4 linked regions of the Elephas maximus indicus genome follow. The main gene of each other region encodes a partner of the protein of the gene in region 3 in a complex. Links are inferred from orthologs where the notes say so. Each region holds a gene or a part of one and is shown on either strand. Other genes may lie near its edges.

The links.
Region 1: IQCD (region 3) and DRC7 share a complex: the UniProt entries of both Homo sapiens proteins name them as parts of the nexin-dynein regulatory complex. The link is inferred for Elephas maximus indicus from reciprocal best matches to the Homo sapiens genes DRC10 and DRC7.
Region 2: IQCD (region 3) and TCTE1 share a complex: the UniProt entries of both Homo sapiens proteins name them as parts of the nexin-dynein regulatory complex. The link is inferred for Elephas maximus indicus from reciprocal best matches to the Homo sapiens genes DRC10 and DRC5.
Region 4: IQCD (region 3) and IQCG share a complex: the UniProt entries of both Homo sapiens proteins name them as parts of the nexin-dynein regulatory complex. The link is inferred for Elephas maximus indicus from reciprocal best matches to the Homo sapiens genes DRC10 and DRC9.

The regions. Positions count from the first base shown.
Region 1 is NC_064839.1:24,569,629-24,577,530, reverse strand, and holds the start of DRC7 (dynein regulatory complex subunit 7), read right to left. Parts: upstream 3,489-7,902; 5' UTR 3,415-3,488; exon of another isoform or gene 3,220-3,414; intron 1-3,219. Other genes in the region: ADGRG3 (adhesion G protein-coupled receptor G3), read right to left, coding at 4,220-4,326, 5,386-5,660, 6,747-6,840, 7,047-7,327. UniProt on the Homo sapiens protein: Component of the nexin-dynein regulatory complex (N-DRC) a key regulator of ciliary/flagellar motility which maintains the alignment and integrity of the distal axoneme and regulates microtubule sliding in motile axonemes.
Region 2 is NC_064819.1:108,865,953-108,873,734, reverse strand, and holds the start of TCTE1 (dynein regulatory complex subunit 5), read left to right. Parts: upstream 1-4,318; 5' UTR 4,319-4,671; intron 4,672-7,782. Other genes in the region: AARS2 (alanine--tRNA ligase, mitochondrial), read left to right, coding at 1-22, 662-745, 868-978, 1,419-1,583. UniProt on the Homo sapiens protein: Component of the nexin-dynein regulatory complex (N-DRC) a key regulator of ciliary/flagellar motility which maintains the alignment and integrity of the distal axoneme and regulates microtubule sliding in motile axonemes.
Region 3 is NC_064840.1:11,361,372-11,369,075, reverse strand, and holds the start of IQCD (dynein regulatory complex protein 10), read left to right. Parts: upstream 1-4,416; 5' UTR 4,417-4,471; intron 4,472-7,704. Other genes in the region: TPCN1 (two pore channel protein 1), read right to left, coding at 879-990. UniProt on the Homo sapiens protein: Component of the nexin-dynein regulatory complex (N-DRC), a key regulator of ciliary/flagellar motility which maintains the alignment and integrity of the distal axoneme and regulates microtubule sliding in motile axonemes.
Region 4 is NC_064819.1:17,036,561-17,044,865, reverse strand, and holds the start of IQCG (dynein regulatory complex protein 9), read right to left. Parts: upstream 3,155-8,305; 5' UTR 2,756-3,154; intron 1-2,755. Other genes in the region: RPL35A (60S ribosomal protein L35a), read left to right, coding at 4,199-4,209, 4,412-4,564, 5,840-5,984, 6,561-6,584. UniProt on the Homo sapiens protein: Component of the nexin-dynein regulatory complex (N-DRC), a key regulator of ciliary/flagellar motility which maintains the alignment and integrity of the distal axoneme and regulates microtubule sliding in motile axonemes.

The sequences.
Region 1 (7,902 bases), on a different chromosome or scaffold from region 3:
TTTTATCTATTGAGGAAGTCTTCTCGTGTTGGTTGGCAAAATTTCCACATGTTAATTTCTGGTTGGTTTTTGATGTTGCAGATATCTTCTCCCATTTTGTCATATGTCTGATAACTTTGTCCATGGTCCTTCATTAAACAGAAAGCCTTAATTTTGATGTAATGTATCTGGCTTTGATCTAATGTTTTGTGATTTTGAATTTTTGTTGGAGAAGTCCTTCCTTGCCCCTAACTCACAAAGATACTTTCCAACTTTAACTATACAGCACTGTTTCCCCAGTAAGATCTTTAATCTGCCTAGAGCCCAGCTCTGTATGAAGGGTTAAGTAGGGATCCTGTTTTATTTTTCTATGTATAATGAGACAATTTTCCAGCACCATCTATCAGGCCATATGTCCCTTCTTGGTGATCCACCTTGTTGTGTTTTAAGTCCCAGGGGTACATGGGTCTGCCACTGAGGCCTCTGGTCTGTTTCCCTAGTGGTCTTGCCTATTCCTGCACAGATTGCCACCGTGGCCTTGTAATGTCTTCATATCTGGAGGCAAGTCTTCCTTCTAAGCCCTTCTTTCATTAAGGTTGACTTAGCTCTTTGAGGACTACATGCCTCCATATAAACCACAGAATAAATTTTTTGAGAGTCTATAAAATAAAATCAACTGGAATCTTTATTGTAATTTCATTGAATTAATAAATTCTCTGTGAGGGGGGTTTATATTTTAATATTAAGTTGTCTATCTGAGAGCACAGAGTAAATACATCTTATTTCCTTGTATATTTTATATTATAATGAAAAAATACTAGAAATGAAGAAACTTGGGCAGAACAGAGAGAACAGGCAGGGTGCCGAGGTGAAGAGGACACTCCCTGTGGCACCTGGAGCACCACGGGACCCTAAGACCTTATAAGGTGATGATCAGGACAAAGCCTGGCTTAGCCACACACATGCCCACTGGTCTCTAATTTAATCCTTCATCAACCCTTTGGGCAGCTACTGTTATCCCTACTTTAAAACAAAAAACTATTGCCATCAAGTTGGTTCTAAATCACGGTGACCCTGTGTGTGTCAGACTATAGGGTTTTCAGTGGCTGGTTTTTCAGAATTAGACTGCCAGGCCTTTCTTTTGAGGCACCTCTGGTTGGACTTGAACTTCCAATCTTTTGGCTAGCAGCTGCTAGTTAACCATTTGCACCATCCAGGTACTCCTACTTTACAGGCTGAGGAAGGTGAGGAATTTGCCCCAGGCAAGTTGCAGAAGCAGAATTTGGACCAGGCAGGCAGACCTCAGGGTCTGCACTCTCACCCTCAGTGCCATCCCACCTCCTGGGCTGTGTTTGTTACCCTTCAATGGTTGGGAACCCTGTCCATCTACTCTAGGCCTTGGGATATGTTTTTGCCACAACTCCTCTTGGCCTCAGCACAGTGTCCAGCTTGACCCTCAGAGCCACAGTTTGTAGAGACCCCAGGTGATAAGGGACCCTAGCCCCTCAGCCCCTGCCTGGACCTAGGGTGGAGAACCAGCTAGAACAGGAGCACACCCCAAAGTTGGCTACATCTCCCCATCTGTACCAGGAAATGAGCCCATTCCGGCCTGCGATTTGGTTAGCCCCACATACTGGTGAGCATGTCTGAGAAAGCCACAGGCCAGGGTTTCCCTTGAGACTAGGAGGTCAGGGACAAGACGATAATTCTTGAATCCAGGGAATGCCCTGGGAGGAGGTGTCAGCAGCTCGGGAAGCGCCTGTTGTTGTTGTTGTGTGCCATCGTGTTGATTCTGACTCATAGTGACCCTGTAGGGCAGAGAGGAACTACCTTATAGGGTTTCCAAGGCTGTAATCTTTACGGAAGCAAACTGCCAGGTCTTTTCTCCTGTAGAGTGGCTGGTAAGTTTGAACCACTCACCTTTTGGTTAGCAGCTGAGTGCTTAACCATTGCACCATCAGGGCTCCCTAGGGCACCTAGCCCTAGCTTCAGCCCAACTTGCCGAGTGGCTCTGGGCAGGTTGCTGGGCCTCTCTGGGGCTCCAGTTCCTTGTCCCAGTGCAGAGCTGGTCTGTTGGCAGAGTTATAGAGGAAATCTGGAAGGGACCTTTAACCTCACGCTCTTATTTTACATCTAGGCTGCGGAGGGTCATGATTTGCTTTTCATGAAGGTTCTGCTTGGTTTTTCTTTAACCAAGGAGGCCTTGGAGAGTCAGCCTACTCCTACTGTCAGGCACTTTACTGTTGTCGTCTCAATGCTCTCTGGACAAGATGAGGACGTTCTATGATCCCCATTTTACAGAGGGGAAAACTGAGGCTTGGGGAGGTGAGGTGACATTCTCAGGGTAACAAACCCTAAGTAGCAGAACCAAGATTTGAACTCAGGCCTGTCTGACCCTGGAACAGCTGTTCCTTTTGAGCACAGGTTGCTAACTCTGAGACTTTGATGTCAGGGCACCTAGCCCTCCCCTTGAAAAACAGATGTCTATGAAGATAAGTCTGAAACCTAGCAAGTTTGTCCACAAAAACTGATAATGAGGCTCAACAGATGCAGTGTGCACACCTCAGGATTTCCCTTCCAGGAACACAGTGAATTGCATAAAGCCTTCCTGTCTGTTTGCAGGGTGGGAGGAGGGGGAAGCAAGGGCTTCTGGGAGCACCACCTCCATTCCTGTCAGACATCAGCACCAGCACCTGGGAGGGGGAGGCAGCTGGTAGCTCACACAGCTTTGGGGCTGTGAGGGAGGGTCTAGTAATAATAACTTCTCTCCTGTGTAAGGCACTTGGCAGTGTCCAAAGCACATTGGAAAAGTTAGAGGTTGTGTGGGAGGGTGAGATTTCCCACGGCACTTAGTAAGTTAAGGCTAGAGTTAAGGCTAATGGGGTCGGGAACTTGTGAGGTGGGACCTGAGGAGGGAATTGACATCAATGCTCGCCACCCTCGGATTGGGGCAGGCCAGGGGGCTGCCTCCTCTCTCTGTCTCTGTTCTCTCTCAGTGTTAGCCTGTCTGCTAATTCTCTCTCTCTCTCTTTCTATCTCTCTCTCTTTCTATCTCTCTCTCTCTCTCTACCTCTACCTCTACGATCTCTATCTCTTTTTGTTTCCTACCAGAGAAACCAAAATGCAATGGAGACATGGAGGGACAGCCACGAGGAAAAACAACAAACCCAAATTGATCTGGCCTGAGAAACACTTCCTGGCTCAGGGCCCTGTCAGGTTGGAGCCAAACCTGCACATGGATTCGTTCAACTGACAAATATTTATTCTGGGCCTGAACTGCACCAGGCCCTGAGCTCAGGCTGGGCGGAAACAGTGAGGAGGCAGTCATGGTTCCTGCTCCACTGGAGTTCCAATTCTGGTGGAAATGCCAAGCCTGCTCCCCCACCCTCAGCCCCCTGACCCACACACTGAACAGACAGGAGCAAAAATGCTCACCCCTCAGGTGTGCAGTATGCATGTGACAGTCTGGCCACTCCCAAAAGACTGCAGATCCGAGGTCCAGCTGCCCGCCTGGCAGTCAGAGTGGAGACTCAGACTTGCTTGAGGTGTCATACCCACTGAGTCTGTGACGTTCTCTGAAGCCATGTCCCCAGACATCTTGAAGGCTGGCAGCCCCTGAATGGTAGAGGCTCTTCAGGGAGGATGGACCCAGGTGGGACTGCAGAAACCAGGGCTGTGCTGGGTAGGAGGATCAACCCCCCACCTAAAAAGTTCAGCCAACAACTCCTCCAATGCCTGAGGGGACAATGACCTCCTGGAAACCTCCCCTCACAGGTACAAGCAGCCAGAAGTTGGAGTCTGAGAGGGAAGTGACAGGGGTAAGGGGAGAGGCTGGGGCTCCTTCAAGGGTCTGTGCCTACAAGAGACTCTCCTATTTAAGCTTAGGCTGTTCCTGAGACCAGAGGGTGGGTAAGGGCAAAGAATGGCTGCTTTGCTACCAAGGTGAGCAGGAGAGGGAGGGGAGGCATCACTGTATGCTGGGAGGGGGCCCAGGATTATGAGCGCGTTAACCTTCTGCATTCCTGGATTCATGAACTCTCAGAACCACAGATGCGTCTGGATGGGACCTTTGAGGCCACGTGGTCCAACCTGGTCTCCATCTCCCCTCCTCAGCCACAGTGTGCAGAGAAGGAGACTGTGGCCCAGAGAGAAGCAGGGACTGACCCAAGGTTACCCAGTAAGTCAGAGTTGAGTCCAGAGCTCAGGGCTCAGCTCCCAGCCTAGCCACTTGGCAGCCTCTTTATCCATGAGACACCGAGTGGGTCTGGTCGGCTTGGGTAGTTGCAGATGAGGAGGCACTCTGACTAGGGAAGTAGAGGACAGCGAACCAGCCAAAGATGAAGATGCCTGGGGGTGAAAAGGGGTAGCAGTGAGCTTGTGGGTGGGGACATGCAGGGAGGGGGGCTATTTAAAAACTGCTTAAAAGACATTAGGGAAAAAATCAGGGAAAAATGAAACCTATTTCTAGAAAAGAACCAAATAGAAATTTTGGAAATTAAAAATAGGGTCTCTGACCAGAACTAGATGGTGCTCGGCTACCACCAAGGACCTCCCTGACAGGGAACACGACGGAGAGTCCCTGATGGAACAGGAGAAAAGTGGAATACAGACCTCAAATTCTAGTAAAAAGACCAGACTCGATGGTCTGACTGAGACTGGAGGGACCCCAGAAGACATGGCCCCCAGACTCTCTGTTAGCCCAGAATTAAAACCATTCCCGAAGCCACCTCTTCAGACAAAAATTAGGCTGGACTACAAGACATGAAATGATACTGGTGAGGGGTGTGCTTCTTAGCTCAAGTAGACACATGAGACTAAATGGGCAGCTCCTGTCCAGAGGCAAGATGAGAAGGCAGAAGGGGACAGGAGCTGGTTGAGTAGAAACGGGGAATACAGGCTGGAGTGAAGAAGTGTGCTGTCACATTGTAGGGAGAGTGACTAGGGTCACATAACGATGTGTGTATAAGTTTTTGTACGAGAAACTGATTTGAATTGTGAACTTTCACTTAAATCACAATAAAAAAAAGAGTAAAAATATAGGATCTCTGAAATAAAAAAAAAAAGCTTAACAGTCAAGATAACTCTAAAAACAAAAAAACCTGTTGCTGTCGAGTTGATGCCAACTCATAGGGACACTATAGGACAGAGTAGAACTGCCCCATAGGGTTTCGAAGGAGTCGCTGGTAGATTTGAACTGCTGACCTTTTGGTTAGCAGCTGAGCTCTTAACCACTGCTCCACCAGGGCTCCAAGATAACTAGATGGGATAAACTGAGAGACAGCAGGGATTTGGAAGATAGTGCTAAGGAATTACACTAGAATCCAGCACAGAAAGCTCCTGTGTGTGTATGTGCGCGCGCGCGTGCATTCGTGTGTGTGTGTGTGTGTGTGTGTACAGGTGCCTCACCTTGCAGGGAGTTGAGCACTGCGAAGATATAAATGGTGAACAGGCCCAGGGGTGTGAGGATAGCCAGCCCCCACGTCATGCCCATCAGGCTAGAGAGGCCCAGCACAGTGAGAACCCCCTTCCAGTTCAGCCCCTGTTCCTTGCCCGCTGTGATACTTGACAGAGTGAAGATCTTCCAGGCCACCAGGCCGAGGACCATGGCACTAAAGAGGAAAGTGATAAGAAAGTAGCCATGGACGGTGACATACAGGGCAGTCGTCTCACGAAACCAGCACCTGGAGGAAGAGGATGGCCGTTGGGACAAGGAGAGGAGAGCGTTGCCCAGCAAGCCCCCAGGAAGTCTCCCCTGACTGACCTTTGAAGACCAAAATGTCTTCCCCTATCTCCACCCACCTACCCCGCTTTCCTCCTGGGGCAGGTGCTCAAGGGCCTCTTTAGACCGTGTGTGCAAAAGGGCCAATTTGGCCCCAAAGGCATGTTTCATATGCTCCACATATATTGTAAAAAAAAAAAAAAATTGAATTAATAGCTATCCTCTAAAAAACAGGTTTGGCATAAATATCCAGATGTCAGCTTCTCTTGTAAAACCCTACATCTGGCAGCTCCAAACGGCCTCCTGAAGACTCAGTGAGTAGGTACATGGTTGCCATTCCACCACAGTTCCCATCCAGCCCCTTTGGCCCCTGATGTGATACTCTGGGGCCAGGCCCAAGGCCCTGCTGGCCCTTTCCAGCTCTGTGCTGGCTGTGGGCTCAGGGGTGGGCACCATGAGAATGCCAGGGCAGGAGTCTGAAGGCTCAGCTCAGCTCCACTTTGTACTGCAAGGACAAAAGGCTCTAAAAGAGCATGTTGATCATCCCCATGGTACAGATGAGGAAACTGAAGCTTGCCCTGAGGGGCTTGGCCAAGGTCACACAATACGTCAAGAGTACAGCCTGGACTAGGACCAGGGCTGCTACAAGTGGTTGGGCAGGTTGTGCACTGTACAATGGGTGGAGGGGGCAGTTGGGAGCTGAAATCCAGCATGTCCTCCACTTACCAGGTTAAGCGTCTGGTGGGGCACATTTTTCAATTTGCCCAAAGGCGCTGTATGGGCTAGTGGCAGCCCAGGCTAGAGCCCAGTATTCTGCCTCCTGGCTCAGTTCTCTTTCCCCCTTTTCAGCTCCCCTCTCTCATTTTCCTTCCTCTCTCCAGGCCTCAATTTACCCCTGCATGCCATGAGCTAGCTGGGTCTGAAGATTTTTCTGGCCTCATCACACTGAATCTCTCGTCCTAGGACTCCCTCCATTCCCCCTCCCTCCGGCTCCGATATGTGAAGCCTGGAACCTGGTATCAGCCCTGCTCCCCCAGCCGCCACTCACAGCTCCAGCATGGTACGGTTTTCCTTGTCCTGGATTGTGTAGCGGCCATAGCTGTTGGTACTCCCGGTGCCAATGACCACCAGGGCAGGGAGGCCTGGGAGCAAGGGGAGGAGTTAAGGCATTGCAGCCTCCCTGGGCATGCCCTCCTCCAGAACCCCTCCAGCTGCCCATTCCTTGAACCCTGAGCCTGTCTGACAGCTCCTCTCTCCCCAGGGAAATGCCCCTAGCCGGCCCCCCAGGGCCTGGCTGGAGGGAATGTCCACCCCATCCATCTCCTCTGACAATCCAGATAGCACCTACCCCAGCCCACCAGGCTCAGCTTCAGGAAGTAGTGCCCGAAGTAGGTGTTGAAGACCTTGATGACAAGCAGATAGAGGTGGAAGGCTTCCAGGCCCATCCAGGTGAAGGTACAGAGCAGAAAGTAGTGGAAGACAGCTCCCCTAGCCCAGCAGGCAGCATTGGAGCCCTGCGAGCCATTCACCACAGTGATGAGGAAAGCTAAATTCAGGAGGAACAGGCTGACACTCAGGGCCACATGGATCTTGGGGGTATCTTCTGACTTGAACCTCTGCCGGAAGAACCTGGGCCAAGAAGGGCCAGTGAAAGGCACAAGGGGCCACAACTCTCATGGGGCACCCAGGCCTTTCCACCCCACCTCCTCTGTTCCACCATGAGCCCTTGGCTCTTCGCCTGATCTTCCAGCTTCCATTCCTGCCCAGCAGCCAGTTTGTAATGCACTCAGGTTCAAGTTCAGGACCTCTCTCATGGCCCACAGGACCCTACAGGTTCCAGGTCCTGCCGGCCTCACCCCTTGGCTTGATGCTTTACCCAAACTGTATACCTTGTAATTCCCTGAACACCTTCTGTTTTTCATACCTCCTGGACTTCACCCACGCTCTTCACTCTGCTCTCAATGCCTGTCCCTGCCTCTCAGGCCCTCCCAACTTCTTTGCCTGCTGACTCCTCCTCCACCTTCAGAACTCCCCTTAGACTTTTCCTTCTGAGGAGGCTGACTCTGAAGGCCCCTCGTTGTTGTTGTTGGGTGCCATTGAGTCCATTTCAACTGATAGCGATTCTGTGTGACAGAGTCATAGGAGTTTCTTGGCTGTAATCTTTACAGAAGCAGCTTGCCAGGTCTTTCTCTTGTGGAGCCACT
Region 2 (7,782 bases), on a different chromosome or scaffold from region 3:
CCGCAAGCTGGAGACAGGGCAGGTAAGAGGAGGTTTGGCTGAACTCATCGGGGACAGATTCCCAGTACACCAAGCAAGGGCCAGAGACCTCCAACCCGCTCCCTGTGGAGTCTCAAGAACTGGGGTACGTGGGACAAGTCAGGCTGTGCTGGGAGGTGGGCGAGAACAATGGTAGCCTTCCTCCTCTTTTTGCCAGCCCACAGCAGGCCTTTCCCCACACCTCTCTCTCTCTGCCAAACCGTGTCTCTCCCCCATCTTCCAAATCTGGCTCAGACTCTCCCTCCAGGAAGCCTTCACTGATGTGATTAACACCATTCAACCCTAATGGCTGTTTAACTGTGGCTCCCCCTGCCTCCCCCCCACTCCCAGCCATCTGTGCTCCAGCACCATCCTTTCACCTTCAGTGGCCTATTTGTAGGGCCCTGGGGCTGTGATGAGAGAGAAGAGGCAAGGGAGGGGAGGAAGGACCCAGATGGGACCCGAGAAAAGGAGGCCATTCCAGGCAGAGCCCCTGCCACCTCTTCTCAGAGCTGATGACCTTGGCTGAGGGAGGGGGAAGAGGAGGGAAAGGCATTGCTGGGTTAGGGCCCTGTTCAGAGTTGGAGTTGATTGAAAACCTGCCTCCCACCCTCACCCCTCTGCCTTCTTTCCTGCCCTACAGGCAGCAAAGAAAACCCAGGAGCTGCTGGAGCGGCACACGAATGGGCCTCTGATTGTGGACACAGTCCCTGCTGAGTCCCTCTCAGTGAGTCTTGGGGCAGGGGAGGTGGAAGAGCTGCCCCCAGGGCTGGGGAGGGGAAGTCATGTCTCGGGGGTAGTTCGGAGACTGAGAAGCCATGGGGTTCCCCATCTGTCCTCCCTGTCCAGGTTCTGGTGAAGGTGGTGCGGCAGCTGTGTGAGCAGGCCCCCAGCACATCCGTGCTACTGCTCAGCCCCCAGCCCCTGGGGAATGTGCTGTGTGCCTGTCAGGTGGCCCAGGTGAGGGTAACAGGAGAGCAGCCCCATCCCCACCCAGCTCCTGGTCCAGATCTCTGACTTCACACCTTTTACTTTTCCCTGAAAAGGGAGCTAAGGGGCTAGGTGGAGGTGATCTATGAGGACACCCCAGGACAGGGATAGGTCAGTCTCCCAGTCAGGAACCTCTCCCCCAGGGTAAAAGCAGCATGAGATCCTCTAGTTTCCACCCCACCCTCCTCTCCAGGCCTCATATCCCTTGCTAACAAGTAGCAGACATTCATCAATCTCCATATACACTTCCAGTCCAGCCCTTCTCCTGTCTCCTCACCCAGCTTCCTCCACCGTGTACCCAGCTGGGGAAGGGATGCTGATTCCCTGCCACTCCATTCTCGAGGGTACCTTGAGCGCATGGGACAGGGAGGGCTGCTCCGTATGGCTTCCCCTTCTGTTTCTGCCCCCAGGGTGCCACACCTGCCTTCACAGCAGAGGCCTGGGCACTGGCTGTGTGCAGCCACATGGGAGGCAAGGCGTGGGGCACTCAAGTCGTGGCCCAGGGCACCGGAAGCACTGCTGACCTGGAAACGGCCCTCAGCACAGCCCGAGCCTATGCCCTCACCCAGCTCTGACCCAGGCCCACCCGGGGGCTGATGTGAACAAAGAGACAGTGGACGTGCAAGTGCCAGGAGCTCTGAGGAGCTAGTTGAACCTCAGAGGGTAAAGCGGAGGACTGAAGGCTGAGAAGCTGAGCCAGAAAGGGCCACCCTGAGCCAAGCCCCGTGTGGACACAGGGAGCTGGAGATGACTGGAGAAGGCAGAAGTGGGCCCAGAGACACACTCCCACTTGGTGGCTGTCGTGACTGTGAATCCTCATTAAAAATATTTCACAGAGGATTGGAAACTAGAAGATTCTTTTATTTTAAAAAAGCAGCCTTTCGCTCCCAAGAACCTGTTATGCATGCCCCATCCCCAGTCTCCCCTCACACTGGGCTGAAAGGATCCAAATCACGGCCAAGAGTGCTCAGACGGGTTCTGTATGCAGAGCCGTCCTGGGCTCCAACAAAGCCTCCTGATTTGCCAACAGCCTGCCAAGATCCAGAGCTTTCATGTAAAAATCATTACAGCAGAGCAGACCTTCACCGAGTTACTTCGTTTCATTAATAATGACTTCTTGTTTTAATTAAGGCCCTGTTGATTTGTTGATGAATTGAGCAACAGGTACTGCCCAGTTGCTGAGAACTGACAAGAAGCAAACTGAGAAAAATTCCTGCCCTTGAGGAGCTTACTTGTAGTGGGGGAAACAGGCAATGCACAAGAAAAAGGAGGTGTCAGATGGTGATGAGATCTGTGTCAAAAAAGTGGAAAGGGGATCAGGAGTGTGTGAGGTGGCATCTGAGTGGGGAGCCGGGAGGCGAGGGTGCGAACCATGTGGGTATCTGAGGGAAGAGCGTTCCCAGCTCAGGGAACAGCCAGTGCAAAGGCCTGAGGTAGGAACTGAGGAGGCTAGTGCCGTTAAGCACAGTGAGCTGGCAGAGTGCCAGGTGATGGGGTTGGAGAGACTGCACAGGCCAGAGCAGTCCTACTTTTTGAAACGAGGTACACACCACCTGCTCCCAGCCTAAGCTGAAGCTGAAAACAGTCTAATGTTGGCAACTGAGAGCAGGACGCTGAGGGATGCAGGGAAGCCTGCCTTCTCTGCCAGGACTGAGCCAGATGCTGGAGCTCCGTCTCTGCTCCAAAGTCCCTGTTGCTAGATGAAAGAAAGGACCTCAGGGGCAAGGGACCCATATTCAAGTCAGGGCCGCCCCAACTGCCAAGCTCTGGGATTGTGTAGTAAAAATGAGATACAGAGCAAGATGGACCTTCCTGGCATGACTTTATTTTTTGAACAATTCCTCATTCTAATTAAGGGACTGATGATTTGTTGGTAAATCACTGACGAGGGCTTGAAGGGACTGGAACCCTTGGTGCCTGGTCCTCGACTGCTTGCTCCAGCCCTCTGGAGTTGCAAAGCTTCATTTCAGAATCTTGGTAATTGGAGCCGTAGCCATATTTGGTGGTGCTCACCACAGGCCCAGCTTTTTCTTAACAAACTGTGGGAACCAAGGTGAGGGTTGTGGTACCCACACTTTATTGATGAGGAAACCGAGCTTCTGAAATGCCAACCCAAGGTTGTTAATGGGTACCATCAATTCCAAATCATAGCAACCCCATGTAACAGAACAGAACTGCCCCATAGGGTTTTCTTGGCCGTAATTTTCACAGAAGCAGATCCCTAGGCCTTTCTCCCAAGGAGCCATTGGATGGGTTTGAACCACCTTTTGGTTAGCAGCCAAGCACTTAACCAGTTCTGCCACTAGGGCGTCTTTTATCCTAGGTTTAAAAAAAAAAAACAAAAAACCCATTGCCCTCAAGTGGATTCCCACTCATAGTAAACCTATAGGACAGGACAGAACAGTCCCTAGAACTTCAAAGGGGCACCTGGTGGATTCAAACTGCTGACCTTTTGGTTAGCGGCCGTGGCTCTTAATCACTACGCCACCAGGGTTCCCTTACCCAAGGTAACCAGCTTAAAGCTAAGTTCTGCCTCCACGTGAAACTCCTCCCACCTCACTGGCTGCCTCTCCCCTCCTGAGGACAATTTCTTTTTCTTACTAGCAAGCCCCCTGAAGTCTGTCACCCTCACCCTCCAGGAGATCAGGGCCACCACATCCTGTCACTACAGGGCTGGCGGGAGCAAGGAGAGCATTGACTCCAGGTTTAGAGCTCTGCCAAAGAGCACTGCGGAGACCCGGAACCTTCCTGTCTCAGGTGCCGGACACCAGCCTCATTTACATTCTGAAGAAAGGTGGAAGGTGTTACTTACTGTTCAGGGATGCAGTGCAGCCCACAGCTCTCCTGCAGGGTTTGAAGTCAACAGGCGGCCTCAGGGGGAGCTTCAGTAACTCCTGCAGGTACCCTGGACCTCTCCAGTGCCCCCACCCTACTGCACCATTTCTCCTGAAAAGGTACCAATAAGGAAAAAGTACTCCAGTCCAGGACCCTTGCCCTGGCCCACTCCTCACCTCCAGAGAACACCAAGCATACCCATCCCCAAGGCCACAGAGTTTTCACTACCCACAAAGCAGCCCCACACAGACCTAAGTGTCCTGAGGCAGGGCCTGGGCCACCTTGCGGGCCGCCGAGCCAAGTGCCATAACAAAGGACCAGCCCTCTGCGCTTATATCGACCACCACCCAAACGTGGTGCATAAGCAAGCGTACGCGCACACGGGGCCTCGGGCCAGCTCGTGCAAATGGTGCCGGGACTTCCCCGTCCCGCCCCCTGGCGACGCAGGGCGTCCCTAACGACTGTAGGCCGCGCGGAGACTAGAGAGAAGGCGAGGGCCCGGGCTCCGAGGGAGCAGGTGAGGCGATCTCTCGGATAGGAACACTCAACCCCCTACAGGGCTGACCTCTCCCGGACCCCACTCACGCCTGCAGGGCCCAGAAGCCACTCCTGCGACCCCAGAGAGAAGGCCCGCGCCCTCAGCCCAACAAGTCTGAAACCTGCAGGCGGCCATCGCCTGAGCTCCCAACATTCCTGTGGTGGGGAAGGGCCGGTCTGCACTTACAAGAGGCCCCCTTCCATTCAGTACCTCCTCCCCGGCCTCAGCCACTGTCTACACACTGTGGAGCCCGGAGCGTCCGGCCGGAGTGAAGGGTAGGGAGAACTGTGGTAAGGAAAAGGGGAAGGTGGGGCTTTGGGTGGGTCGTGGAAGAGAGCCATCATAAACTCAGGGGCTCCAGTCTTCCCGGAGAGGCTGATGCTGCAGATCACCAGCTCCTTCGGGCCGCAGTCCCTCCTGCAGGTCCAGAAGCTTCCACACCTCCCTCCCTCCTGCCGCTGGGCTGGTTTCCCTTGGTTACCAGGAGAACACCAGGACCTATTGGCAGCAGGTGGAATGGAGGAGGGACCCACTGACCTTTGGAACTGGAGCTTCTCAGCTGGGGTCTGAGCTGAAGGGAGGGATTATGAGTGGGGAGCGAAGCCTCTGGAATCCCTTTTGAGACAACAGACCAGAGTGAGCAGGAGTTGGGAGGGAGCCCAGGCCTAGGGGCTGCGATAAGTGTGTTTGCTGGTTCACCGGGCTAAGACCAAGCATGCTGTGCCTGGGCTCTGTCTGAGACACTTTTTTGCCTGTCTTCTTGTGAGTCCACAAGCTGGGAAATCCCAACTGGGAACTGAGGAGTTATTTGCCCCATCTCATGACATCATAGGCATGAAAGAGCTCACCTTCAGGCAGGTGTAGACAGATGCCTGGGGAGAGCACTCCTCAGTGGGTCCTGGGAAGGGAGAGAAGCTGGCCAAGGAGGCAGAGACAGCATGTCAGCGAGGTGGGTGGAGAACCAGAGAGGCACCGGTAGGCAGGCAGGTAGGAGGGCAGTCCATGCCGAACGCTGCAGAGCACCCCTGGAGATTGGCACAGGAGAGCACTCACCCTCAAGGGAGGCTTCCCCAGGAGAGTACTAGGCTTGGAAGCTAGATTCCAGGTGACTGAGACCAGAGCCAGTGGTCAGAAAGGGAGGGCAGCGAGTCAGAGAAGGTCAGCTTCCTAGGAAGAAGTGAGGCTGTGGAACCGGCAGGAAAATCAGGCAAAGGCTCTCCCCCGATGGAGGGGAACCCACTTGCTCAGGTGAGAGATGGAGGAGCCCCTGGGTGGAGCAAACAGTTAAGTGCTCATCTACTAGCTGAAAGATTGGTGGTTCAAATGCACCCAGAGGTGCCTCAGAAGACAGCTCTGGCGTTCTGCTTCTGAAAGGTCACTGCCTTGAAAACCCTATGAAGCGCAGTTGTACTCTGCACACATGGGGTGTGTGCACACATCAGAATCAACTCTACTGCAAGTAACAACAACAAACCCTTTTCAGAAAGGTTAAGAGATGAAAGTGCTGGGACACGACTTATTGAGGCAGAGACAGCCCATAGGGGGCATATCACCAGGCACAGAGGTACTCAGGCCTTAAAAGGGGCCAGGTGTCACCTCGTCTCAGTTAAGAGAAAGGGAAGTAAGGACATTAAGGACCAGGGATGTAAAGGACAGGAAGGTGAGAGGGCTCCCCTACAACTTATTTACCTTTCCCATTCAGGCAGGTGGGAGGAGCCCCTGTCCAGAGTGGGTAGATTTAACTGGAGACTTGAGGAAGGATGGAAAAGGTCGGAGATCTCCTTTGTGAGGTGGAATGTGCTAGAGATGCAAGCAGTGACTCCTGAGTCTGTGAGGAGCATCGAGGGCCCTGTGTGAGCCCTGGATCAGGACAGCAGAGCCCTGAGTATTCTCTTGGGTCCCCATGGAGCCTGAAGCCAAAGGAGAAAGGCAATGACCCAACTTTGTGGAAGGTTCTGGTGCCCAGGAGTGAGTTAGGGGGTGAGGGAGCCTGGGCTGTTAGGTTAGCATGAATGGAGGCAACCCCAGGCTCCAGACTGGTGACAAGGAGAGAGAACTCATGAGCTATAGAAAGTGGGAGGCCCACTGGAAACACACTGTGAATGACCAAGTTAGTAGCTTCATGAAGTTAACTCCATCACCTCGTTATTTGTCCATATTTTTGTGCCTGAAAGTGAGTGTTAGACAGAAACTCAAACCTCAGCTTCTCCACTTACTAGCTACGTGATGCTTAGCAAGTTACTAGTTACTTAAACTTTCTAAGCCTCAATTTCCTCGTTTGTGAAATGGGGATAATAATGGTAAACCTGAGAATTTAATAGAGTTATGTAGGTAAAGCATGTAACATCTTTATCACAATAATATCTAACATATGCTGACTCTGGGCCCACACTATATGAAATGTCTACACACATTAGCTCCTTTATTTCTTGAATTTGCCCAATAACCCTATGAGATTTGTTGTTCTTTTAGGTGCCGTCAAGTCGGTTCGACTTATAGCCACCCTGTGTGTAACAGAATGAAACACTGCCAGTCCTTCGCCATCCTCACAATCATTGTTATGTTTGAGCCCATTGTTGTAGCCAGTGTATCAATTCATCTCACTGAGGGTCTTCCTCTTTGTCAATGACCTTCTACTTTACAGAGCACGAAGTCCTTCTCCAGGATCTGGTCCCTCCTGATAACATGTGCAAAGTATACTTATCCTATGAAATAAGTACTATTAATTACCACCCCCATTTTACAGATAAACTGAGGCTTAGTAGGGTGAAATGACTTACCCAAGATCTTAAAGATGCTAGGAGGTAGAGTAGAGATTTAGCTTGAGGCAGTCCAACTCCTGAGTCCTGCAATTGAAATTAACCAGCTGCTATATAGGGTTGGTATGAGTCGGAATCGATGACAATGGGTTGGTTTGGATCGGTTTTATATTGCCTTGTAGGTCCCTGAATGGCACGAACAGTTTGCACTCAGCTGCTAACCGAAAAGTTGGCAGTACAAATCCAGCCAATGATTCCACAGAAGAAAGACCTGGCGATCTGCTTCCACAAAGAATATAGCCAAACAACCCTATGGAGCTCAATTCTACTCTTAATACATGGGGTGGAAACCCTGGTGGCATAGTGTTTAAGTGCTACGGCTACTAACCAAAGGGTCGGCAGTTTGAATCCGCCAGGCACTCCTTGGAAACTCTATGGGGCAGTTCTACTCTGTCCTACAGGGTCGATATGAGTCGGAATCAACTCGACGGCACTGGGTTTGGTTTTTTGGTTAATACGTGGGGTTGCCAATAGTCGGAATGGACTCAAGAGCAATAGTTTTGGTTTATACCACCTCCTGCTGTGCACACGCTATTAAGGGCCTAGAACTCATAAATTGTAACCTGTATATGGACAAAGATA
Region 3 (7,704 bases):
GGGAGCCAGGCTCGTCCTTCCATGGGCCCAAGTATCCACACTCGCAAACTGGAGAAGAGCAATACCCCTCTGTCCTGGCCGAGGACGAATGGCAGACAGGGGGAACATCCACTTGCCAAGGAGACCCCAAAGCTCTGGTCTCTGATGACTTAGGACCCTCCCTAAAAGGCAGGTTATTTGAAGCCTCTCCTGAGCCCGAAGCCTGAGCAAACGAAGCAAATGGCTTTGGGACAAAAACCAGAAACGTTCTTAAGGCCTCCCATTCTGCCAGAAACACAATTAAAATTTAAAAAATTAAAAGCTCATGACCTCTCTTGGGTTCACTTTGTGCTAGGCTTTGGCTTAAAGGAAGACAAAGCAGAACCCAAAACCCTCAAATCAATGGCTCACTTGAGTGTGTCAACAACATCCACAACAAATGCCAGCTCCCTCCCACCCTGTCCTGGGCAGTGCAGGGGCTGAGCTCGAGCAGAGGGAAGCAGTCAGCTCCACTTTCCTGCCAACAGTTTCAGACTGGGACAGGCTGAGTCTGGTGTGGAAATCTGTTTCTTTTTTTAACAGGGAACGGGGCCGGGAAGCTAGCCAAGAAGCAGGTTAGACTGAGGCCCTAGCTAGACATCCACGGTCAAAGCCAAGGTATCTCTCAGGTGCAAGGGATGCAGGTGGCTGAGGGAGACAAGGGTCCCAGGAGGGCAAGGGAGCCCCCAAAAGCATCATGAAGCTGGGTGTGTAGAATGGGAAACGCCAGGGTCTCCCGGGAGTCATTTCAGTGGCACGACTTGGGGGGTCCGATGTGGGTGTGAGGCAACAGGTATACATCTCCCCATAGACCACAAAGCCCACCATCTCTCAGCCCCCAGCCCATCCCACTGACTTACTTTTGCTAGGCAGTTCCTCTTGGGCCAGTCCATTGGAGGGAGCCAGGGGAGTGCTGCTGCCCTCATCCAAGGTCAGAATCAGAGGCACGTCATCATCTAAGCTCACAGCCATGGTGTCCTCTCCTACAGTCCTCAGGATGCGATGGCCAGGGCCTTAAGTAGTCTCGGGTTTGATGTCCCTTTCAAAGCCACTGCCCCCGGGGTGCTTCTCAGAAACTCCTCCATTAGCGGCATCTTCTAGGGTTTAGGGGGACAGAAAAAGGAAGCGAATCATTCATACACAACCGTCACTGAGGGGCATGTTCTGGGAATAGATGGTGGTTTTGGTTACACAACCTTGTGTCTATATTAAAAACCGCTGAATTGTAGACTTTGAAATGGTGATTTTCATGGTATGTGAATCGTATCTCACAAACCTGGAAAGAACATATACTGAAAAGTTAAGAGTAATTAAATTTGGAGAGTGAGATTACGGCTAATATGTTCCACCACCCTCCCTAGACATTTGTGTGTGTCTTATAAAGATTTAAAGATTCGGAAAAAAATATATAACCATTAAAATAATATTGGTTAATACGCTTTTTTTGAGCACTTACTATGTACCGGGCACTCTTCTAGCCCCATAAGAAAACCAAAAAAACCAAACCCAGTGCCATCGAGTCGATTTGACTCATAGCGACCCTACAGGACAGAGTAGAACTGCCCCACAGAGTTTCCAAGGGGTGCCTGGCGGATTTGAACTGCCGACCCTTTGGTTAGCAGCTGTAGCACTTAACCACTACTCCACCAGGGTTTCCCCATGAGATAGGTAGGATTACTATCCCTCTATGACAGAGGGGCACAGAGAGGTTAGGTAACTTGCCCCAACACCCACAGGTAGAAAGCCAAGCTTGGAACAACACAGTCTGATTCCAGAGCTGTGCTCCCAGCCACCACACCACGATTCCTCTAAGTAGCAGCCTTGATATTTAGGGAGTACCTAGCTTCATTGACCTTAGCACGCCAGGTTATCTGTCGCTATTAGGTGCTGTTGAGTCGATTTTGACACCCCATGTGACAGAATCGAACTGCCCCATAGGGCTTCCTAGGCTGTAATCTTTATAGGAGCAGTCTGCCGTATCTTTCTCCCACGGTGCTGCCTGGGTAGGTTCGAACTGCCAACCTTTTGGTTAGCAGCCAAGTGCTTAACTGCTGTGCTATCAGACCTCCTTTCCATTTCCGCTTAGGAGGACCAAAAGAAAAGCAAAGACTCAGCAGATCTGACTGTGGACCTTTGAACTTCAAAACAGCAGTAGGTTCCGCCCTCCAGCTGTTACCTTCTGGGCTCAATCAACTTTGCCTCCAAGCTGATGCACTGAAATGGCAACCAGGCAACTTAGTTCTTTCACAAAAATCATCAAAATGACTCTAGGCAGACCCTAGTGCATCAACAGGGAACCGCAGAGCTTCTTAAAACAAGGCAGCAAAAGTAAACACCATTCTACTTACTGCAAGCTTGTAAGTCTGCCTGGCTAACTTCCTGTGAGATTTTTTTTTTTAAGTTTCCTCCCAATCTGGGGATTTATTTTGCTTTTGAATCTCAGTAGTGAGGAGGTAGAAAAAGAGGAAATCTCACATACGACACCATTATGCTGTCTTGGGAATTCTGTGCGGTTTATCTTGTTTTAACTTTTTACCATTGATACTTTCAAACACACATAAAAGTAGTGAGAATATGTAAATGAACTTCCTTGCATTCATCACCCGCTTCAACAACTACCAACATTTTGCCATTCTCTCCTGTGTTTATTTTGATGAGAGACTCTATCAACCTTCTCCACACATCAAGAAGTGGTTTCCTAATTTTATCGTTACCATAACGGCTACTGGTTTTGTCGGTTTGTTTAACTGTTTAATACATGACTGCTTGCTTGCAGTGTCTTAGCTCAGTGGGTTTTCCCACGAAAGGGAGATTTGACAATGTCTGCAGCCATTTTTGATTGTCACAACTGGCTGGAGGGAGGCAGGCAGGGTTGTTACTGGCATGTAGTGGGTAGAGGCCAGGGATAGTGTTAAGCATCCTACAGTGTACAGGATAGCCCTCCACAACAAAGAATAATCAGGCCCAAAGTGTCAATGGTGTCTGTTGAGAAACCCTACCTTAGCTAATATCCCTGTTTCATAGATAAAGGAACTGAGGCTTAGAGAGCTTAACTGAAGTTGCCTTTTGTAAGTAAACAACAGGGAAGTGGTCCATACCAAAATAACCCATTCCTGTCCAGTGGATTCCGACTCATAAGGACCCTATAGAGAAGTGGTAGAGTCCAGATTTCAACCCAGGTAGTCTGAATTCAGAGACTTTCCCCGTTTAATTATTACCCTATACCTCTTCCCAGAACAGTGCCCCATAACATTCAAAACCATGGTTTTAGAGAAGGAAAAGTTGGGCCCAGAGAGGGGAAGGGACCTACCCAAGGTCACACGGTGCCCAGGCAGAGCTACAGAGCAGACTCCTGAGTCCTAGCCCAGTGCTCCTTCCAGTGGGCTTTGCTTCTCGCTCTATAGAACACCGAGGGCCGGGGGGAGTCATCCCAGGGAAAGGGGATCAGCAGCTGTCCCGTTACCCGCTGGGGCTGCCTGACCCAGGCATGAGCCCGGTGTAGGGCTGCCTGAGGGTGCCAGGGAGAGAGCTGGAGGGGGAGGAGGAAAGGCTGAGGAGCGCCGGCTTCACGTGCTCCCAGCTCTGGGCCCCAAGTGGGGGCCGACCCAGGGGGCCAGGGGCGAGAAAAGGGGGTGCAAAGCGCCGGCCTGGGCTGGAGGAAGAGAAGCACGTTGGTGATTTTCCTGCGCCCCCCCCTCAGGACCCGTCCTGCCCGCCCGCACACCCCGATGCCCAGACGCAACCTCATACTCAGCGCCTTCTGACCTCTGCCCCCTGGCCTCTCCCCCAGGCCAAGTCCTCGCGCTCCCCAGATTCTTACACGCGCCGCCCCAGCAACCCGGACCACGCGCAGGGGTCCGCACAAAACAGCACAGCCCGCCGGTGCCGCCGCCCAAGCTCCGAGCTCGGAGCTGTTGCAGCCGCCTCCGCCGCCACTTCAGTCGCCGCCACTCCAGCCGCTGCCACCACGGCAGCTGCGCCAGCGCTCCCATCCACCGCCTACAGTGTCCTCAACACTGCTGGCCCCGCCCCATTTCTCCGCTGCCGCAGTCTATTGGCTTCTTGGGTTGCCATGCTGAACTATGATTGACCAAATCTCATGTCCTTCTTCAGTCTTCGCCCACTGCCTGAGCTAAACTCTCTGCCCCCGCCTTGGAAGGGGCGGGACGAAGAAGTCCCGCCCCTTTCCCCGCCCACTCTCCCCGCCTCACCCGTTTGGCCCAACCCAGAGGGAGCCCCGGCTCTCTCAATTGGTGGAGAGTCAGGGATAGATTACTCCTGAGTGGTCAGACTCCCAGGAGGCGGGATAAGCTGGGCGGGAAAAGGAGTTGAATGGTGAAAAGGAAAGTCAGTCAGACCCCGAGTCCCGCCTCCTGAGATTGGCGGGTAACCTAGCAACGCGGGGACCTCGGAGGTAAACTGTGGGTCAGGAGACCTGGAGGCCTCAGAACAGGTGAGTGACCAGGTGGGTTAAGGAGTGGAGGTGAGGGGGAGATGTAGAATGGGGTCTAGGCTGCCCTCCTTTGGATCCCTTAGGAATAGTAGCCCGCACCCCATCCTGTCCCAGCCCCAGGACCCTACTCTCCAGCCTGTTTCCCCTCAGTCAAGTGTAGTCACATCATAGTTAATTTATTTCCAGCCAAACATAGGTGCCGGAAGTGAGAAAGTGGTTATAAATCCCCTACCGTTCCACTCAACGACTGTACGTTCCAGGGTGCATGCAATGAAAGGTTTCTCACGTGACTGAGCATTTCAATTACATAATTTTGATAAGGATCCCTGGTGGGGCAGTGGTTAAGAGCTCGGCTGCTAAGAGTCGGCAGTTCAAAGCCACCGGTTGCTCTTTGGAAACCCTATGGGGCAGTTCTACTCTGTCCTGTAGGGTCTCTATGAGTCCAAATCGACTCGATGGCAACGAGTTTGGAGTTTTTTGGGGGGGGGGGGGAATTTTGATTACACCAATTTTTGCCTTATGTGCCCACTTTAGAACCTAACTCCCATTCCCATCCTTAAAATGCAATTCCATTGCACATACCTCAGACAAAGTGTTTGTTGTGAGGATTAAATGAGGTATAGCAATGAGGAGCTCAGCAAAACGAAGCAACATAGTAAGTGCTCAGTAAATTGTGGCAAGTATTATTATTACTAATTTTCTAAAAGCACGGGTAGCCACAACTCTTCCTGCTTAAAACTGCCCCAAGGAAGTTCTCTCACATCATACCTTAAATATTCACAAGTTCGATGAGTAATTACTGAATGCCTACTAAAGGGCCAAGCACAGTTCTAGGTGCTGGGGTAGAACAGACAAGAAAGCAGCTTCTCTCCTCTGGTTATGGAGCTTGCAGTCTATCATGGGAGACAGACATTCATCAAATAATATACATATTAATATGAAATGACACCTGTGGACATTCACTTTCTATGATGGAAGAATAGGCCAACACGCCCCTTCTCAAAAACTTTAACAACTATAAAGCTAAACAAAACTGTCTAGGGGTATTTCATCCCTGTGGACATCAACCAAAGGCATACAACAAGTTGAGAGAGCTTATTCATGAAAACTACTGAACTTGGAGTTTCTGGTATACTTACCCAAGGCTGTTCCTATTCCCCCTCACCCTAGTTCTGTCAGCATGATAGTTCAAAGAGGGTGGGGCAGGCCATGAAAACCAATAGCTTCACTGTTATTGCTCACTTGATTTGGAGTGTTGTCAGTTAAAGTAGGATATGTTGATGGCAAGTAAATAGGGAGGGCCAACAGACCTGGTTGCAGCATTATTCAAAATAGCCCAAAACTGGTTGTTGCTATGTTAGTTGCTGTCGAGTTGATTCCGACTCATGGCAACCCCACATGGCCAGAGCAGAATGTCTCCATAGGGTTTTTAAGCAAGCTGATCGCCAGGTCGGACTTCTGAGGTGTGTCCAGGTTTGAACTGCCAACCTTTGGTCTCATAAATAATCGCCTAACAGTTTGTGCCACCCGGGGACTCCTCCTGGTCCCACAGGCACCTCTAACTTGATTACATACAAATCTGAACTCACCACCTTCTGTCCCCACACACCACTCCACCCCTCAAGCTCTGCTTCTCTTCCTGTCTTTGCCCTTTTGGTAAACAACCATCCAGCCAGCAACCTGGCCAGAGAACTGGGTATCATCCTTTACTCTTTGCTCTCCCTCCTTCCCCAAGGAGCCTTGGTGGCGCAGTGCTTAAAGCACTTGGCAGCTAACCAAAAGGTCAGGGGTTCAAAGCCACTCCACGGGAGAAAGATGTGGCAGCTTCCATAAAGATGACAGCCTTGGAAACCCAGTGGGGCCAGTTCTACTCCGTCCTATAGGGTCACTGTGAGTTGTAGATGACTTGATGGGACACAACAACAGCAACACAGTCCTCACAGCCAGTCCTTCATCTCATCCTATTGATTCTTCCTCTTCAATATTTCTCAAAGCCATCCACTTCTCCCCATCATCACTGCCTTGTCCCTGGTTGAGGTCACCTCATCTCTCTTCCGGACCTCTTCACCAGCCTTCTAAACCTGATCCCCTTGCCATCTTGCACCTGCCAACCCTTTCGTCACCCTTCATCCCAGGCTGCCAATCTGGCCGTGTCCCTCGCTCCCTGCTTAAAACACTTCTGGGAGCCTTCAATTCCTCCTCCTGAGTGAGGAAAGCTGTTATGCCCAATTTTCTAACCCCATCAAGTCGGGGGAAGCTGCCTCATTTCCTGGTCCACCTGTAAGGTGATCTAGAGGAAATGAAAATCCTAACCAGTATAACCAGGCCAGGATGGAACAAAAGACCCAGTAGTGGAAGTGGTTGGAAACTTAAGAGTGAGAGGGGGTGAGTGCTGAGGTCACTGTTCCATTATGTCTTGTCTGAGTTAAAAGGAAAAAAATGTTAGTTGAAGGGAAGAATCTAACCTACCCATTCCCTTTCCCAGACTTTACCCTCCACCCAGAAAGCTGAAAATAGCCTTTTGATTGAAAGCAGCCGCGGCATCATAGCATCCATCCCCCTCCCTCCACGCTGGCCAGACTGCCTAGAGCACCCGGACAGGCAAGATGCTCAGCCCTGGCTCTGGGTGGGGCATTCCCTTGGGAACACATTCCAGGCGTACATGGTCAGACACAAATGCCTTGGTTTTGGCTTGGGGGTTATACACAGTCCCAGTGAAGGATGAAAAGGGTGGGCCTAGCCTGCTAAATGGCTAACTTCCCCCCACACACTTCCTTTGTGCCCAAGGAGAGGGAAGCTCAGAGCCATAAGGCTGATGCACCACCGGATTTATGCTTCCACATGTAATCATCATCGTTGCTCACCTTTGAAGAGGGCTTTTAACTCTCCCAACAGCTTCCCTATTTATTAAGCCAACCCGGCTCCACACAGCTCCCCTTTGATGTGGCTGGGACAGAGGTTATATCCCTAGTTGTCAGAGATAAGGGACTTGCCCATAGTTATTCTGGAGTCTCCAGCAGGGGACATGTACCAGGTCTCCTAACACCCAGCTTGTGATCTGATCTTGATTCTGTAACTGATGGTGACTTTAGATGATGCAGATATCAGGCAGGACTGGGCCGGACTTGTGAATGAGAATGACTTTGAACCTGGATGGAGCACTGGACTTGGGGGTGGGGAGGCCAGGTGTTTCCCAGCTGACCCAAGTCTATTGTTACTAGGCCAGTGGTTCA
Region 4 (8,305 bases), on a different chromosome or scaffold from region 3:
TTTAAAAAATTGAAATTATCCTGGAAATCAGTTTAATATTGCTATTAAGGTGGCGCCTTTTCTAGGTAAATTACTTCAGTAATTACTGTGCTTGGATAAGGTTTACAGTGAACATAACCTATAGAGAATTGTGCTCTAGACTGAAAAGTAAGGGCTGTTTTCAGTGTGACTTTGTCCACAATAAAGTGGTCCCAGGGAGGGGGGTAGTACAAATATGTCTCACTTGATAAACATCTTATATATAAAACTTCAATCATATAAAACAGAATCTTTGTGTAAAGTGACAAAAGATGCTCCAAAAGAGCCGAATTTTCTGGAGCAGGGGCAGTCCTAGGAAGAGGTAGCAGGGTGTTATGCGTAATTTTGTTCTGTGGTTACGCAGTTGTTTCTTTCTTTTTTTCATTTTTTAGGCTTGAGGCATAGGTAGACTGTGCTTTGTGCAGATAAGATATGGCTGTGCTTCCCTAGAATGTACACACACACACACCCATTTAGTTACTATGTGTGATAAAACCCATTGCCATCGAGTCATTCTGACTCAAAGCGACTCTATAGGACAGAGTAGAACTGCTCCACAGGGTTTCCAAGGAGCACCTGTGGGATTTGAACTGCTGACTTCTTGGTTAGCAGCCATAGCTCTTAACCACTACGGCACCAGGGTTTCCCTATGTGTGATACATCCTGATATTTTCTATTCTATCATTTTTTAAAGATTTATTTTATTTTAGTGAAAATATACACAGCAAAGTCTACACCATTTCAACAAATTCTACATGCACAATTCAATGATATCGTCTACCATCTTCAAGTTGTATAACTGTTCTCACTCTCCTTTTCCAAATTATTCCACCACCATTAACATAAACTCAAGGCCCGCTAACCTTTCGAGATGCTGTTGTCGATTTGATCCCGTAGAGATAAATCTTTGAAAGAACACAATGCGCAACGCAGACATGCTTTACTAATTAAGCTAAACTTGTTTGATTCAAAGCAGACTTCAGGGGGAAGTATTGGTTTGAGGTCTGAGGTTTAGATTATCTCAGGGCAATAGTTTTGGGTGTTGGTTCAGCTTCAGTGGCACCAGAAGGTCTAGACTCCACTGTATTCCATCATATTTTGTTTAAACGAGTATTTCGCTTTCAATGGACTAATGGAGTATCACTTGCATTTTGAAAAATGCCTTAGACGACACTTTCCCAAGTAGCCTTCCCCTGACACACCAGGCTGGATCAGGATTCTTCTGTTCAAGGGCTCACAGAACCCTCCTCAGAATCTGTAATGTTTATGTCCGTTTCCCCCACCCCACGAAAGCAGGAAACGTGACAGCAATGCTCACGACTGTATCCTGTGTCTGCACTGTGCTCGGTACATAAGTGTTTGTGGAGTGAACGAATGAACAAATAAATGAAACTCACACTGAATGTGTTATTCCTCCCAGCAGTGCTTACTTTTGGAACTTCATGGAATTCAATTTCTTGGACAGAGAAAATCTGATGGGAGAGTGAGGTACAGAAACCCTACCCTGATGTATTTAAGAGAGAATCTGATTTTATATGTGACCTCTATACAACTACTTTATAAAAACCTTGGAGTCATTCCTTACTCTTCTCCCTCTCACTCTTCATCCATCATCAAAGCCTGTCGGTTTTACATTTAAAATACATTCAGAATTCCAATACCTGCCATCCCTGTCTACACACCATCATCTTCCAAAAGGATCATGACAACAGCCTCCTAACTGATCTCCTTGCTGGTGCCCTTGCCTCCCTTAAGGCAGATAGTCACTCCTCTGTACGGAAAGCCGCAGTGATTAGGAGCTCCGCGCCTCACTGAAAGGTTAGGGGTTTGAATCCATCAGCAGCTCTGCCAGAAAAGGATGTGGCAGTGTGCTTCCATAAACATTACAGCCTTGGAAACCCTATGAGACAGTTCTACTCTGTCTTACAGAGTCGCTATGAGTGGGAATCGACTCCATGGCAGCCGATTTTGTTTTCTGTATGGAAACCTCAAATGGCTTCCCATCTCAGAGTAAAAGCCTCCTTTGCACTGGCCGCCTTGCTTTTTTTTTTTTCCTCCATATATGTTAACACCTCCTAATTTGTCATATGGAAACCCTGGTGGCGCAGTGGTTATAGTTACAGCCGCTAACCGAAACGTTGGCAGTTGGAATCCACCACCTTGGAAGCCCTATGGGGGCAGCTCTACTCTGTCCCGTAGGATCGCTATGCATCGAAATCGACTCGACGGCAACGGGTTTGGTTTCAACGGGTAATGTGCCATATATTTTACTTGCTTTATTGTCTGGCTCCTCCTACTAGGATGCAAGCTCCATGAAGGCAGTGATTTCTGCTTTCGTTTGTTTACAAAAGTATTTTCAGGGTCTAAAACAATGCTTGGCATATTGCAGTCATTCAATGAAATATTTGCTGAATAAATGAAAGAATCCACAGGGCAATCCAAATAAACTCTCAATAATTAGGAAATGTAAATCTCTGACGTCCACTAACCCATCTCTTTCTAGTCTACCAGTGTCTACTGAGGGCCTTTTACGGGTGTACACGGTGCAGGGCACGCTCAGTTTGTCTGACAGCTGAAGGGGTCTTCCTAAAAAGGTGATAGGTCTTCTCAGGGCAGTCCTCCTTACCCTCGGGGTCAAAGCGAAGGACGGAGGAAAGAATTTAAGTCATTTCTTGAAAGGTGTAAAGGACTAGGGAGAAGACAGGAGGAATTACAAACAGGGAAAGAAAGGAACGACCTCTCCTGCCTTTGCGCTCCCGGCCTTTCTCTTCCAGGCGAGGGTAGGATCCGAAAGTGAGTCTCCGTGCGCTTACTCCTGTGTGGTGGAAAGGAAAGATGCTCCCACGTTCGCGAACCAATTCTGCGGTGTCCAAGGCGGGGAGAAGTCCTTCAGTCCGGCTTCTACTTTTCCACCTACAGCACCCTAGGAAGCCGGTACCAAGCTAGGGTGTTTCTATGGCAACGCACAGCTTGGGGGACCTTTTCTTCTCCCCCATTAGCTGGCTACCACTTTGCCTCCCTCTGCTCCCAAATAACGCATGCTGCAGCCTATAAAGATGAAAGAACTTTGGCAAAGAATTGTAAAAGTGCTCTTGGATGTAGGCTGCGTCAGTCCGAAGACGATTCCTGACGCTTGTTTTTCTGGCGGACGCGGAAGATGCCTACTTGGGGGCAGGGAAGAGAGGTGTTTATCCCACAAGGCAACGCGGCGGGTCTTGGTTTTCCTTTTTCCGCCATCTTGGAGCCTGTAGAGGTGAGGGAAGCTTCAGCTGCTGAAGTTTGGGAGCAAAATAGCTGGGGTGGGCTCATCCATATGCTTCGCGAGGCACCGGTGCAGCTTGGGGACCCTGGTAGTCAGTGGATTTTAAGGATTCCAGCGAGAGGGAGGGCAGGATGGCAGAGATGCGGGGTTGATGGTGCTGGTTCCCTGACGTCCGGGGAACGGGTCCTGTAATAGGAGTAGATTCCGGGCCAGAGCGGAGTGAAATAGGTGCACTTCGTTTGGCTACAGGTGCCGATTTAAGGCAGTGGGTCCTTTAGGTTGGGTTCAAGTCCGTTTTCTGTTCGGATACGGTCCTCGATAAGTCTTTATTTTTCCTGAGTTTTTGTCTGTTGGTCATGACATGATTTTTCCCAGGGCTTCCTGTTGAAATTTCTAGGAGTTCGTCAAGTATATATTTTTGCCACCTTACTTTTTCTTTATAGGAGCTAACCAAAAGGTTGGCGGTTGGAACCCACCGGCCCCTGCACGGGAGTAAGATGTGGCAATTAGTTTCTGTAAAGATTACAGCCTTGGAAATCCTATGGGACAGTTCTGTCCTGTATGAGTCGGAATCGACTTGACGGCAGTGGGTGTGTTTTTTTTTTTATTTCGTGAAGGGTATATTTTTGCCACTTCGGATTTTCTTTGGCCTCTGCATTTTTTCCCTTTACTTTGGAGTTTCCTTACATATCAGAGGCTTTCTGTGAGGCTTGGTTGCCTTAACAGACCTTTCATGTAAATGTTATGGCATAATTAATGTTTTCTTTTACTATTATATGAAATGTCAATCAAAAACGAATTTGTCTAATGTGCTTGAGAAACGAGGGGGCACTTGGTGGGAAAGTTGTGTTGCCAGGTTGTGAACTGAGTCTTTTTTGTTTAAGGCCTGCTGGGAACAGGACTTCGAAACCGGCAAATATGTCTGGAAGGTATGAGCTTTAAATATAATTGCTTCGTATATGTAGTCTTTTGTTGAACATGAACCTAAATGTGAGTTTAAAAAGACCAGAAAAATTAGATATTTGCTGTAGGTAACTTGGGTTGGGGGCCAAATTATACCGGTGGTTTGTTGAGGTTTGACAACATCTTTTAAGAGTTTACCGTTAATGTTACATATTTTGTGTATCTTAGGTTGTGGTCCAAGGCCATTTTTGCTGGCTATAAACGGGGTCTCCGGAACCAGAGGGAGCACACAGCTCTTCTGAAAATTGAAGGTGTTTATGCCCGAGACGAAACCGAATTCTATTTAGGCAAGAGATGTGCCTATGTGTACAAAGCAAAGAAGTAAGTTTATAATATTGCTGTGCTTTTCAATTTTTAATTAAGATCTGCCTCATTTTTCTGTTGAAAGAAAAATAAAACATAGATGTTGATAAAACAATTGATTCTACTGTGGCTTCTTTTGAAGTCTTTAAGGAATTCATGGGATGTTGTAGAAGGACGTTATTTTTGTGGATGGTCTTGGATTTCAGTTACTTCACCATGTAGAGAAATTACAGCTGTTCTTGTTTCAAGGAAGAAGCTAATTCCTGATAGTGTGATGCTCATATGGGTTTATAGAGCGCTTTCCATGTACCTTAATTCATTTAGTTGATTTCCTAAAATTATATGTTTTATACATGTTGAAAGATGTTACATGTCCAGAGCAGTGGTTCTTAATCCTGGATTCTTAATCCACCTCAGGCCAGTTAAGATCTCTGGGGACATACTTCATCCTGGTCCACTGCCACAGCTAGAGTGATCCTTTAAAATTATCAGACAGATCACATGTACATTGCTCAGACTCATCTCATTCAGCAAAAGCCAGAGTCCTTAAGGGGTGTCTAAGACCCTTTGCAATCAGGCCCCGTATTTCCTTTCTGATCCTAGGTAGGATTCAACTCCTCTCCCTCCAATCTCTTTTCTGTTTTCCGGCAAATCAAGCAAACTCTCTTCTCAGATTTTTAACCTGTCACTGTGAATCAGAATTGACTCAACAGCAACAGGTTTTTTTTATTTTGGGGGTTTGGTTGCCTCTGGAATGGTCTTTACCAGATACGTGTATGGCTTGTTCCCTCACCAGGTCCTTTATTCCATCGTCACCTCAGTGAAACCTTCTGTGACTACTTGAAATTGGAAGCAGTTCTTCCCTCTCACTACATGGAAACATCCAGTTGTTAGCCCCCTTTGTTTTTTTTTTCTCCTATATTGCAGCTATTATCATCTCATGTTCCACATATTTTACTTGTTTATTATTGTGTTAAGCCTGTAAAAAGGGCTTTTGTAAACTGTAGCATGCCTTGCCTTTACAAAAGCCCCTGGTGTACAGTAAAAAAACAAAACCAAACTCTTTGCTGTCGAGTTGATTCCGACTGATAACGACCCTAATAGGATGGAGGAGTAGAACTGCTCCACAGCGTTTCAAGGAGTACCTGGTGAATTCAAACTGTTGGTATTTCGGTTACCAGTTGAACTCTTAACCACTGCGCCACCAAAGAGGGAACAGTGTGTAGCCGATAAACGTGTAAACTTTACTGGTATTCTGAGTTCTCGTGCACTTTCCACTTCTCTTTAAATCAGCAACACAGTGACTCCTGGCGGCAAACCTAACAAAACCAGAGTAATCTGGGGAAAGGTAACTCGGGCCCATGGAAACAGTGGCATGGTTCGTGCCAAATTCCGAAGCAACCTTCCTGCTAAGGCCATTGGACACAGGATCCGTGTGGTAAGTAAAATTATTACCAAACTAGCCCTCTATGTAGTCAAACTGTGTTCAAGGGGTTGGGATTTGATCTCTAAGGTCCATTCTGGTACTGTGATCCTGCTTAGTACTGTGTTACCTGTAGATTAGGCTGCCAAACTAGTGGCCACAGTTTAAGTGGTAACTATTACAGAACATCTGACTGTTAAACCAAAAAAGGTGAAGGCAGAGTGTTCAAATGGATTGTGCTTAGATTGCAGAGTTTAGTAAAGCTGCCTGGGGAAAAAATAGCATTTAATAATTTTCCTCAAAGATGTTTATTGGCCACTGAAGTAGGTGTTAGAAAATAAATTCACATCTTTTTTCTGGGATAATTCTTAATATTTTCCCATCCCTTCATCCTCAATATCAGTGTTATTAGAAGAATAGCCTTATTTAATAGATGAAGAAAGTTGGTATTTTTCCTAGGCCCAAGACTCTGGGCCAAGTAAGTTATGAGAAAATGGGAAGGGATTTGTCCACATTGTGGTACTAGTTTTTTTATAACATTTGTGAATTTACATGTAGTCACCTAATGCTCTTGTGTTCTTTTCCCCCCAGATGCTGTACCCCTCAAGGATTTAAACTTACTAAGAAGTAAATAAATAAAATGGTGGCTTTGTTACTTGTTCTCTTATATTTTTGTTAAATGGTTTAAACGCTTTCCTCTAAATTAAATTGCTATATGCTTAAAATGGACATTGAAATAAAGGACTATTGGAGTCGACTAATTTCACAGGGAAATTGTAGTGCTATATGTCAGTGGAATTACAGAAACTTAGAAGACAACTCCTCTGGGGGGTCTTAATGAGAAGAGGATAGGGTGGGAGTACCTGAATACAAAGCCTGACACAGATGGGAGATATGGAGGCTTTGGTTGGATAGTGGAAAAGAGTACCTTGAAAGTTTTTTACGGTGATGGAGCATCTGAACTCAGCCTTTGAATAACTTTTTGAAGAATGGAAAAACACTGTATTCCAGGAAGCACATAAACTTGGGGGTGGAGGTTTGGAGTGGCAGTTGTAGTCAAGTGGATTCCGATCCATGGGACCCTGTGTATGTCAGAGTAGGATTGTGTTCCATAGAATTTTCGGTGGCTGATCTTCTTGGAAGTAGACTTAACCGCCAGGCCTTTCTTCCACTCCCCAGGGGCTCCCTGGTTTACTATATGTACTGGTAACTGTTCAGTTCATTAGGTTGAGTCAGTTAATGAAGCTTAAATTTATTTTCATGACCTCTTAAAAGCACTTGTAGTAAGCGCCTGTTTACTGTAGGCTGCTTGGTGAAATTGTGACTTTTGGGAATTGGGAGGGATATGGAGATAATATTGAAAGGTTTTGGCAGTTGTTTCAGATAGGCTGAGATGAGATATCCTTGGGTTTTGTGACAGCAAAGTATTCTAGAATATAGCAATTACAAGTATGTGAAGTATTGAGTGAAATAATGCTATGTGATTCTACGTCAGAAAAAGATGTTTAATCCTGTGGTGTATGGGGTTTAGGATTAGTGCCTAGACAGTAGCTTTCCTTGGCTTCATGTTACAAGGTAGTTAAGTGCAGAATTGAGATATATTAGCATATACAAAGGAAAGTGAACAGGGCTCTAAAATATTTTAAGTTTGAAAGTATGCTGAAGTGAAAGATACGAGTGCACTAATGCATCAATTTATAGTATGATGGTTGTAGATTTTCAATTAAGGACTCGGTAGCCGCTAGGCCTTTGCTTTTACTAACTGGTTTTGACATTCCACTGAAGATGTCGGATAACTGGGATTTTGCCAAACCAAGCCCATTTTCAGATGTATATTTGGGTTCTTTGAGAAGCAGATGGCAAAAACAAATTAGACATGCCACAGATTTTTGGAGGGAAACCCCTTTGTAGAATTAAGGGGAGGGAGCTTGAGAAGTTGGGGAGATCTGAGATCTTTGAAGGAGAGGGTGCAGGAAAGGATGGGGTATAGAGTACCACGGTAAGCAAGGTTCCCTCAGTTGAATGGCAGTCCTCAAGGCAAAGTTGCTGTTGGAGGGAGGAGTCCAGTCCTTTTAGAATAGGCTTCTGTTTGTATTCTGGCATGCTCAGTCTGTGGCAACAGTAGGCGTGGTTTCAGGCAATGAGGTGGATCCTAAGGAGCTCTTCTCCAGGAGATCTGAGCATGCCTTTCATGGGCACCACAAGTTGGAGCTTTGGTTATTAGAAACAGCTTGGAAAGTTGAGTCAGGCAGGCAGTGCTGCTCTTGGACCTACTTAAGTAACGTATAAAAAAGCCACCTTAATCTGACCCAGAATTAACTGAAGGTGTTGTGCTG